2 linked regions of the Oryctolagus cuniculus genome follow. The protein of the gene in region 2 binds, or shares a complex with, the protein of the main gene of each other region. Links are inferred from orthologs where the notes say so. Each region holds a gene or a part of one and is shown on either strand. Other genes may lie near its edges. The genes, in order: SOCS6 and KIT.

Region 1 (3,899 bases), on a different chromosome or scaffold from region 2:
TCAATGAAGACCCTGAAGTCGGTTTAAGTAAACTGTGCTCTCGGCCCTAGAGCCTTCACTACTTATTAACTAAACCAACACAATGAATGCCATAATAAATTACCCATTAAACATGAATAACAATTTCACTCTCAATAAAATATGAAACATAACCCATTGCTATTTCTCCTTTAACACCTGACAATAATCTTCATCAATTCAGCCACATAAGAAATTTTAAGACATACTAGTATTAGAAATCTGCCCTTTCTAAAGGGCATCACAGATCTAAGTGCCACTTCTAGAACTGGAAGAGGCCAGGGATGAGGGCAGAGAACTAAAATCCACTGCTCTTCCTTTAAAGGATGCAAAAAAAAATAAAGAAAACAGCAGAAGGTGATCTCCGAAGCCCACCTTTCCTAAGTAACAGAAAGACACGTGCACATCCACTAGCCAGCCTATGTATTATAAATAAGTCAGGGTATCTGACCTCACTCTCTCAACAGAAGTATGTGTATGTCATCCCGTTTCCCAGGATTCCCTATTTGTATGAGAGAGAACAGTAATTGCTTCAAATTCAGAAATGGATATAACTTTTCTCCCTTTCTCAGAGAATATGAGCATTATGACTTTTACACAAGACTACCTCTACCAGCAAAACAAAAGATGCCATCACCAAGTTCCCTTAAGACTAGTCACAGCGGATACCGAGTAGGGTCTTCTCTGAGGAGTGGATTACACGAGGCAGTCCTATGAAGACACAGGTGCCTGCTGTTCCAACAGAAAGAACACCCTTTCAGTTCTGAAGCGCGACCGCAGACACAGGCTGAGGCTAAGCGAAATGACGCCACGCGGAATCCAGTCAGGGCAGCAGAGCTCTTCCGCCCAGCATTGGCACCCAAATCCCTTCCCTGCCACTCCCTGCCGGTGGCCTGCCAAGAGAGGAGGGTCAGGTGGCAGCCTGAGGGTGCGCCCCTGGGTGGGAGGCAGTGTCCAAGGCCTACCTGTCTCCCACAACAAAACGGGAGCAGGAGGACACTTGCTACCAATTGAGAGGGTATTCAATTGAGAGGTGTCCTACCAATTGAGAGGGTATTCAGAAAGGTAATACAGGCAAAAAGAGAAAGCAGAGAGTCCTACAAGAGGAGCAGGCTCAGGTGCGTGACCTGCCTGGTGGGTCCCAGGCCACAAAGAGGAAGGCACTTGCCAACAGCAAGACTCCTCATGGAACCGCCTGTCCAGGTGCCAGCATCCTCCAAGGCGACGCACGCAGACAGATGAGAGAAGGTGCTGGAACCAAAGGGTTAATTAAGGCGGCCCATTTTGTTTATAGCAGGCCAGGACCCGGAACCCTCCCATGCAGGCCTGAGGAGAAACCAGAAAGCCCAGGGAAGGACCACAAGCCTACTTTTCTGGAGTTTTGTAGTCAACAACGCCATTCGCGCGTTTAAGCGGCACGGACTCTGCACTGCACTAAACAGTCCGTGTAAGATCCATTCATTCAAGCAAGTGGATTCCAGGAGTTCACGTTGCGGGAGCTGTGGGCGACGTGGGAGAAGTCCAGACGAAGTGCCGCGAGCATGTCAGCCAGCTCACCCTGCAGCAAACACAAGTTGACGGAGGTTCTTCATGCAACAGCATCGTTATGCCACGCAGCGCGGCGAACCGGGGCAGCCGGCAGCACCGACCCGGCGCGGCCGCCGGGCTCTGCGGCGCACCCCGGGCCCTTCCTTCCCCAGAGCGCGGGTCTCACCTCCCACGGCGCACAATGACCGCACGCGTCCCAAGTTTGGGCGCCAGGCCCCGCGCCCGGGGGCGTCCACGGCGGGGCTCCCTCCGCAGTGCCCGAGCACCCGAAGTTGCCAACTCGCGGGGCAGGCCCGTGCCGCTGCCCGCAGCCGGCCACTCACGGCCCGCAGGCACCGGCCGCCACTCCCAACACGGCCCGGTGCCCTCCGCGGCCCCGGCCGAGCCCTGCGGGCGCGGGCCGCGGTTCCCGGGTCGCCGCCCCGGGCGCGCCCCCGCGCGGGCGGCCTCCCCGCGCCGCCGAGCCCCGAGCCCGGCAGGGGTGGCCCGCGCGGGGACCGAGGCGGGGCCGCCGAGTCGCCTAGGCCCCGGCCGCCGCCGCCGCCGCCGCGCAGGCCTCGCCGGGCCCCGGGCCTCTTCCCGGCGAGTTGCGGGCAACAAAGGCGGCGGCCGGGGCCCGGCGCGCCGAGGCCCAGGGGTGGGTCGGGAGGCGCAGCCCGGCGGCCGCGCAGGCCTCGGCCCTGCGCCCCGACCGCCGCCTCCCGGCCTCGCCCGCGGGCCCGCCGACCCGGCCCCTCTCTGCAGCCCCGCGCCCGGCGGCCTCCCCGGCGCAGCGCCGCGTCGGATCCGCCCCCCGCGCCCCAGGGAGCAGACGGACCCCGCGGCCGGAGTCCGGGGCTGCGGGAGGGAGCCCCCGACCCTGCCTTCCCCCACCTCCCGGGGCTCCGCAGACTCTCACCCGGCGGCGGCCCGGCTCCGCTTCCTCGCCCAGCGCCGGCGAGACTGCTCGCTCGTCCCCTGCTCCGGCAACTCCTCCTCCCGCCGGCTTCCTCCTCCTGCTGCTGCTGCTGGAGCGGCGCGCGCCGCAGCGCCTCGGCCCGGACGCGGAGCGGGTGCGGAGGAGCAGACGGGCCGCCCCGCGCCCACGACTCGGGCCCGCGGCGCAGGCGGGGCCTCCGGGCTCGCGGGGCGGGGCGGCCGCGGGGTGGGCGGGGCGGCCGCGGGGTGGGCGGGGCGCGCGGCCGCGGGGTGGGCGGGGCGCGCGGCCGCGAGCGGGCTGGCGGCGGGGGCGGCCCGCTGGGCGCCCCGCACGGGCCGTGTCCGCGTGCGCCCCGCAGCCCCGTGCGTGGCCCCGGCGAACGCCGCGCGGAAGCGGGCCTGGGCCGCCGGCCTGAGGGGGCGAGCGAGGACAGCCGTGCACGCGCCCCGCGCAGCCACAAGTGGAGCCGCTCGTCCCGCACCTCCCGTGGCTCAGTCAGGGAAACTGCTTTACAAAGTAATATTTCGAGCCGTCCGCTTTCGCGAGTGGGCCTACAGGGACTGAGGGTCCTCTGTGCCCGGACTCCCGGGTGGTGTGAAGTAAGGTCGGGTGTTCACGCCCCCCCCCACCCCCGTGAGTGCAGAATGGTGCTATGTGCTTTTTGTGCGTGAGAATCTACAAGAAAATGGGATTAGAAACAATTGTCAGTACCTTCAGAAGGTGGGTGTGGGAGAGAGGGTATTACTGAGATCTAGCTTAAGAAGGTGCACTTGTCAGAGTTGGTTCTTCAATAGTGTGAAGCTTTTTAAAAGAAAAATTGAAGGTATAAAGAAATAAGGCTAGGAAAACAAAGTCTTCAAAGTTGTTAAGGTGTGAACTTGTACCAGAATTACATCCCCCCTAAAGCTGTGCATTTATAAAAAGTTCAAATCATTGAGTTTAACTTCTAAAAGTGTTTGATATGCAACACTAACTTAAACACTGAGTCAACACAAAATCGGGATTAACAACAGGAAATTTTCTCCAGTGATTGGGTCGTTTTCTGTAACTGAATGGCATACACAAAGCTGATGTCATTTCTGGTGTGTTATTAACCTGATTAATGGCCATCGTCTTCATTTTTTCCGTGAATAATTAATAAGCTATCATTGTTAGCCTGATTTAATTGCAACGTCTAGTCATGGCAAAATGCAGATTCAAACAGAACTGTCAGAGAAGTTAGTGGTGATGGGGCACAGTCACTAGAAGAGAAACCAACGCAGACCCTGGGAGGCAGCAGTGACAGCTGAAGCACTTGGGTTCCTAACACCCAGGGGGAGACCTGGATTGAGTTCTAGGCTCCCAGCTTTGGCCCAGCCCCAGTCTGCTGCAGGCATCTGAAGAATGAGCCAGGCTGCCTTGGAAATATAAATAC
Region 2 (3,799 bases):
ATGTACTCGTTGGTGCTGTCGCTGCTGGGAGAGGGGACACACGTCAGGCCCGGGGACCGATTTTATCACCGAGTGGGGAAAACCTCCTTCTGTGTCCCGTCTAACGCCGCGGGTGTCCACGGGAAACAGGGCACAAAGACGCTGTCCCCCATGACGAGCGACACACAAAGAACAAGAGCTTCCAAGGCCTGTTCCGGGGGGAGGCAGAGGGCGCGAACACACGGCGTCTGTGGGAGAAACCCAGCGCGGTTCAGACGAACGCCAATAATCTGGGCGGTTTTCTGAACCATCTGGCCCTCTCGAATCGGCAACATTTGGCTGGAGACTCTTCAAGATTCCTAGTGCTTCCCGCTTCTCATTAGCATAGGGACACCATGACAACAGGCTCCCTCGGAGCGCCAGGCTTCCAGCCCCAGATGGGATGGCGCAGCGCGCAGCGCACCACGCAGGCCAGCAGCCCGGGGAGCGGGAGGGCAGGCGGGCGCGTCCCAGGGGTCGGGGGAGACGGGGCAAGTGACGGGTTCCACGCCCACGCACGGACTTCGTCAGGACCCCTCCCGTGCGTGGACGTGAAAACACTCCTGGCATCAAAGGAAGCCACCCTTTCCAATCCGCCTCCCACGGGCCTTGGCTGGGGTGCCCGCAGCAACGCCAGGCGGGGGTTTCAGAAAGAGGGCAAAGGGGCTCGGTGCTGCCACGCCAGGGCACAGACTCGGCGGAAACCGGTACTAGGGGGCCTGGGCAGTGTCTCGCTGCCTTGTTAAACCACCCGAGTCTGCAAGGATAAAACAAACCAACACCAAAACAAACAAACAAACAGAAAAACCAACCAACCACCTGGGGCTCTGGACTTGAGCCAAAGCTACGGAAAACGGCTTCAGGAGGGAGTGGCCTGTCAGCAGTGTCTACGGGGGCCATCGCATTCTGCTGTCGACCCAACCGTTTCTCCTTAAGGAAACCCAGAGCCCTTCACACGTCACTGGGACTCATGCTATCCAGGGTGCGAGAGGCAGGTGCAGCTTTCCAAGGCGCTGGGGCAGCTCCGCCTTTTTACCGCGTGGCAAGCTCCAGGTGGGGGCCAAGTACACAGGGCTGGCTTGAGGGCGATGCCGGGAAGTGGACGTGGGGGGGGGGGGGGGACGCCGGGAAGTGGACGTGGAGAGAGAGGCTCAGCGCTCCGTGCTGCTCTGTTGCAGGCCCAGGCTTTAGCACGGTCCCCTGGGAGCAGCGCCCCCTGTAGGCTCGGGGGCGTCAGGGCAAATGCACACAGGAACTGTGCTAGGAGAACCAGGCCTAGAACCCACACAGGCTCACGGAGCAAAGTTCAGGAAAAAAGGAGAGATGTATTTAAAAAAAAAAGAGCCGAACTCTTAAGGTGACCGTGCTTTGCATCTTTCGAACCATTTGAACTGTCTGAACCGGTCACCACGGTTAAATAATCTAATAATTTCGATTTGGCACCTCCGGGTGCCTCAGCGTGTTTTCTCAAGAATCAGCCTTGATTGCGACCGCTAAGCGCCCGTCCACAGCTGCGAGGCTGCAAGGCGGCCTTACCAGGACGGCTCCTTGGACTGCAGGAGGTTCTTGTAGAGGGCAGCTTCCCCGTGGTCCTCCTGCTTGGAGCAGATGAACGAATCCCGCTTTCTCCGCAGGAAGTTCAGGAGGTCCCCGTAGCAGCAGTACTCTGTAATGACCAGGGTGGGCCCTGCAAGCACAGGACAGGGGCTGAGGGAGAGTGGGCTGCGCCCCGGGTGACCCCGCCTCCGCCGGCACCCGCGGCACGTCACGGCAGCCACGGCCAGCTCCGGGCGGGGGCGGCGGTGGTCCCTGCACAATCATAGCAGCTGGGGGGGGGGGGCAAAGCCCAACAGGCAAGGCCCTCTTTCCCCTGCCCAGGCGAGCTCAGCGCTTGGGGCCCAGGGTCCCCGGATGTACGTGTACAGGGAGGCTCCTGCCCTCATGGGGCAGCCGGCAGGGCAGAGCGGGACTGGCCACCTGGAGCGAGCCACACGCTGACCACCGCCGCTGGCAGAGCACTGGGTGCCCCGAACGCCTCCAGCTGTGGTCCTCTCGTGGCAGGCAGCTAACTAGTGTGGGCGGATGCAGCTCACCCACGACTCCTGACACCTGCAGGGCCTGGGTGGACGTCACTGCAGGCTTCTCCACACCTGTGGGGGCAGCTAGACCCCAGGGCCTGCTGCAGACTGCCTGGATGGGACCCTCCACGGGGCTGCTGACTCTGCAGAAGTGACTCGGCATCGGAGAACTGGGAGAGCAGGGAGCGCGGGGCCCGTTCAAAATGTGGGTGTCCACAGCAATATTAGCCCCGATGACCAAACACGGCCCAGCAACGGGCAAGGCTCCAGGCCTCCCAGAGCCTTCCCTCGGCTCACCAGGACACAGTCCAGATGTTCGTGCCGGGGCCGCGTGGCACTGGCATCCCCGACTGGAGTCCCGGCTGCCCTGTTTCCCATCCAGCTCCCTGCTATGGCCTGGCAAGACAGCGGATGGTGGCCCGAGTGCCTGGGCCCCTGCACCCATGTGGGAGACCCGGCTGAAGCGCCTGGCTCCGGCCTGGCCCAGCCCAGGCCGTGGTGGCCATCTGGGGAGTGAACCAGCAGACGGAACATCTCTCTCTTTCTCTTTCACATAAATCAATCTTAAAAAGAAATTTCTTTAGCACCAAAATGACCTCATCGTCCGGCTGTCCTTCCCACACCCTTCTTGGAGCGGGGTGACTGCCCTGGGTCCTGGGCTACACGCCCCAGGGCAGCCTCGGCCGGCGCGGAGCAGGAACACGCCGCGAGCAGCCTCTATGCGGGCCGCCTGACCCTCCTGCTGCGGGGCGAGGCGGGCGGGCGCACGGCGCGGCTTTACCTCCCACGGTGCAGGCTCCCAGGAGGTTCACGATGTTCATGTGATTCCCCAGGTAGCTCAGCACCTTGAGCTCGGACATGAGGGCTTCCCGCTCCGTCAGGTGGGCGCTCGCTGGAACGAAAAACGCCTGCTTGCGGCCAGGCCCACGGCTGGCGGCCCCCGGAGCCCAGCACACGCGGGGACTTACGTTTCAGCATCTTCACGGCGACGGTCATGGCCGCGTCCGACTTGATCAGCCCGTAGGCCGTGGCCTCCACCACCTTCCCGAAGGCGCCGGCGCCCAGGGTCTTCCCTGCGAGAGGAACAGGACGGATGGGGACAGGGTCAGTGGTGGGGGCGGTGGCGGGCAGGGCTGCACATGGACGTGGCACCGCTGCGCCAGCCACAGCAGCCACCCGAGTTCCCTAAAGTCGCCGTCAGGTGCACGCGGACGGCTGGCGCGGAAAGCCCCCCGGCGCCCACTGACCAAAGCTCAGCCGACTCCTGGGAAACTCCCACTTGTGGTCGTAGGGAAGCTGCGTCGGGTCGATGTACACGTAGCTGTTGCCATTGATCTCCTCCACCACCTTCCACTGCACCTCGTACATGGGCTTCTGCGGGGACCCGGGCCCGTAGGTGAGCGGCTGGCCGCTGCCGCGCCCCCCCCCCCCCCCCCCCGCTGCCGCCACGCCACGCCCCGCCACGCCACGCCCCCGCGCCCCGCTCCACCCCACCCCACCCCCACCACGCCGCGCCCCACCCCGCCCCGCCGCCACATCATGCCCCGCCCCGCCACGCCACGCCCCCGCCACGCCCCGCTCCACCCCGCCCCGGGCACGGACAGGCGGGCACTCACCTGCAGGTACTTGTAGGTGAGGACCATGACAATGATGCACATGACGCCGGCCGTCACCACGAACCCCACCAGCAGAGGTGTGAACAG

What was found.
Region 1: the proteins of KIT (region 2) and SOCS6 are in contact, whole or in part, in a crystal structure (PDB 2VIF), measured with the Homo sapiens proteins. The link is inferred for Oryctolagus cuniculus from reciprocal best matches to the Homo sapiens genes KIT and SOCS6. Residues at the interface, in NP_000213.1 of Homo sapiens: Asn566, Asn567, Tyr568, Val569, Tyr570, Ile571, Asp572, Pro573, Thr574; in NP_004223.2 of Homo sapiens: Arg391, Glu395, Arg409, Asp410, Ser411, Ser412, Asp413, Ser419, Phe422, Thr428, Leu429, His430, Thr431, Arg432, Phe442, Tyr443, Glu444, Gln445, Val448, His460, Asp464, Ala469, Phe470, Cys471, Tyr472, Ser473, Arg474, Ser475, Arg476, Thr482.

Annotation. Positions count from the first base shown.
Region 1 is NC_091441.1:8,447,669-8,451,567, forward strand, and holds the start of SOCS6 (suppressor of cytokine signaling 6), read right to left. Parts: upstream 2,680-3,899; 5' UTR 2,465-2,679; intron 1,577-2,464; 5' UTR 1,388-1,576; intron 1-1,387. UniProt on the Homo sapiens protein: SOCS family proteins form part of a classical negative feedback system that regulates cytokine signal transduction.
Region 2 is NC_091439.1:109,593,019-109,596,817, forward strand, and holds part of KIT (mast/stem cell growth factor receptor Kit), read right to left. Parts: coding exon 3,713-3,799; intron 3,471-3,712; coding exon 3,344-3,470; intron 3,225-3,343; coding exon of another isoform or gene 3,216-3,224; intron 3,215-3,215; coding exon of another isoform or gene 3,170-3,214; coding exon 3,065-3,169; intron 2,989-3,064; coding exon 2,878-2,988; intron 1,706-2,877; coding exon 1,555-1,705; intron 25-1,554; coding exon of another isoform or gene 22-24; coding exon 1-21. UniProt on the Homo sapiens protein: Tyrosine-protein kinase that acts as a cell-surface receptor for the cytokine KITLG/SCF and plays an essential role in the regulation of cell survival and proliferation, hematopoiesis, stem cell maintenance, gametogenesis, mast cell development, migration and function, and in melanogenesis.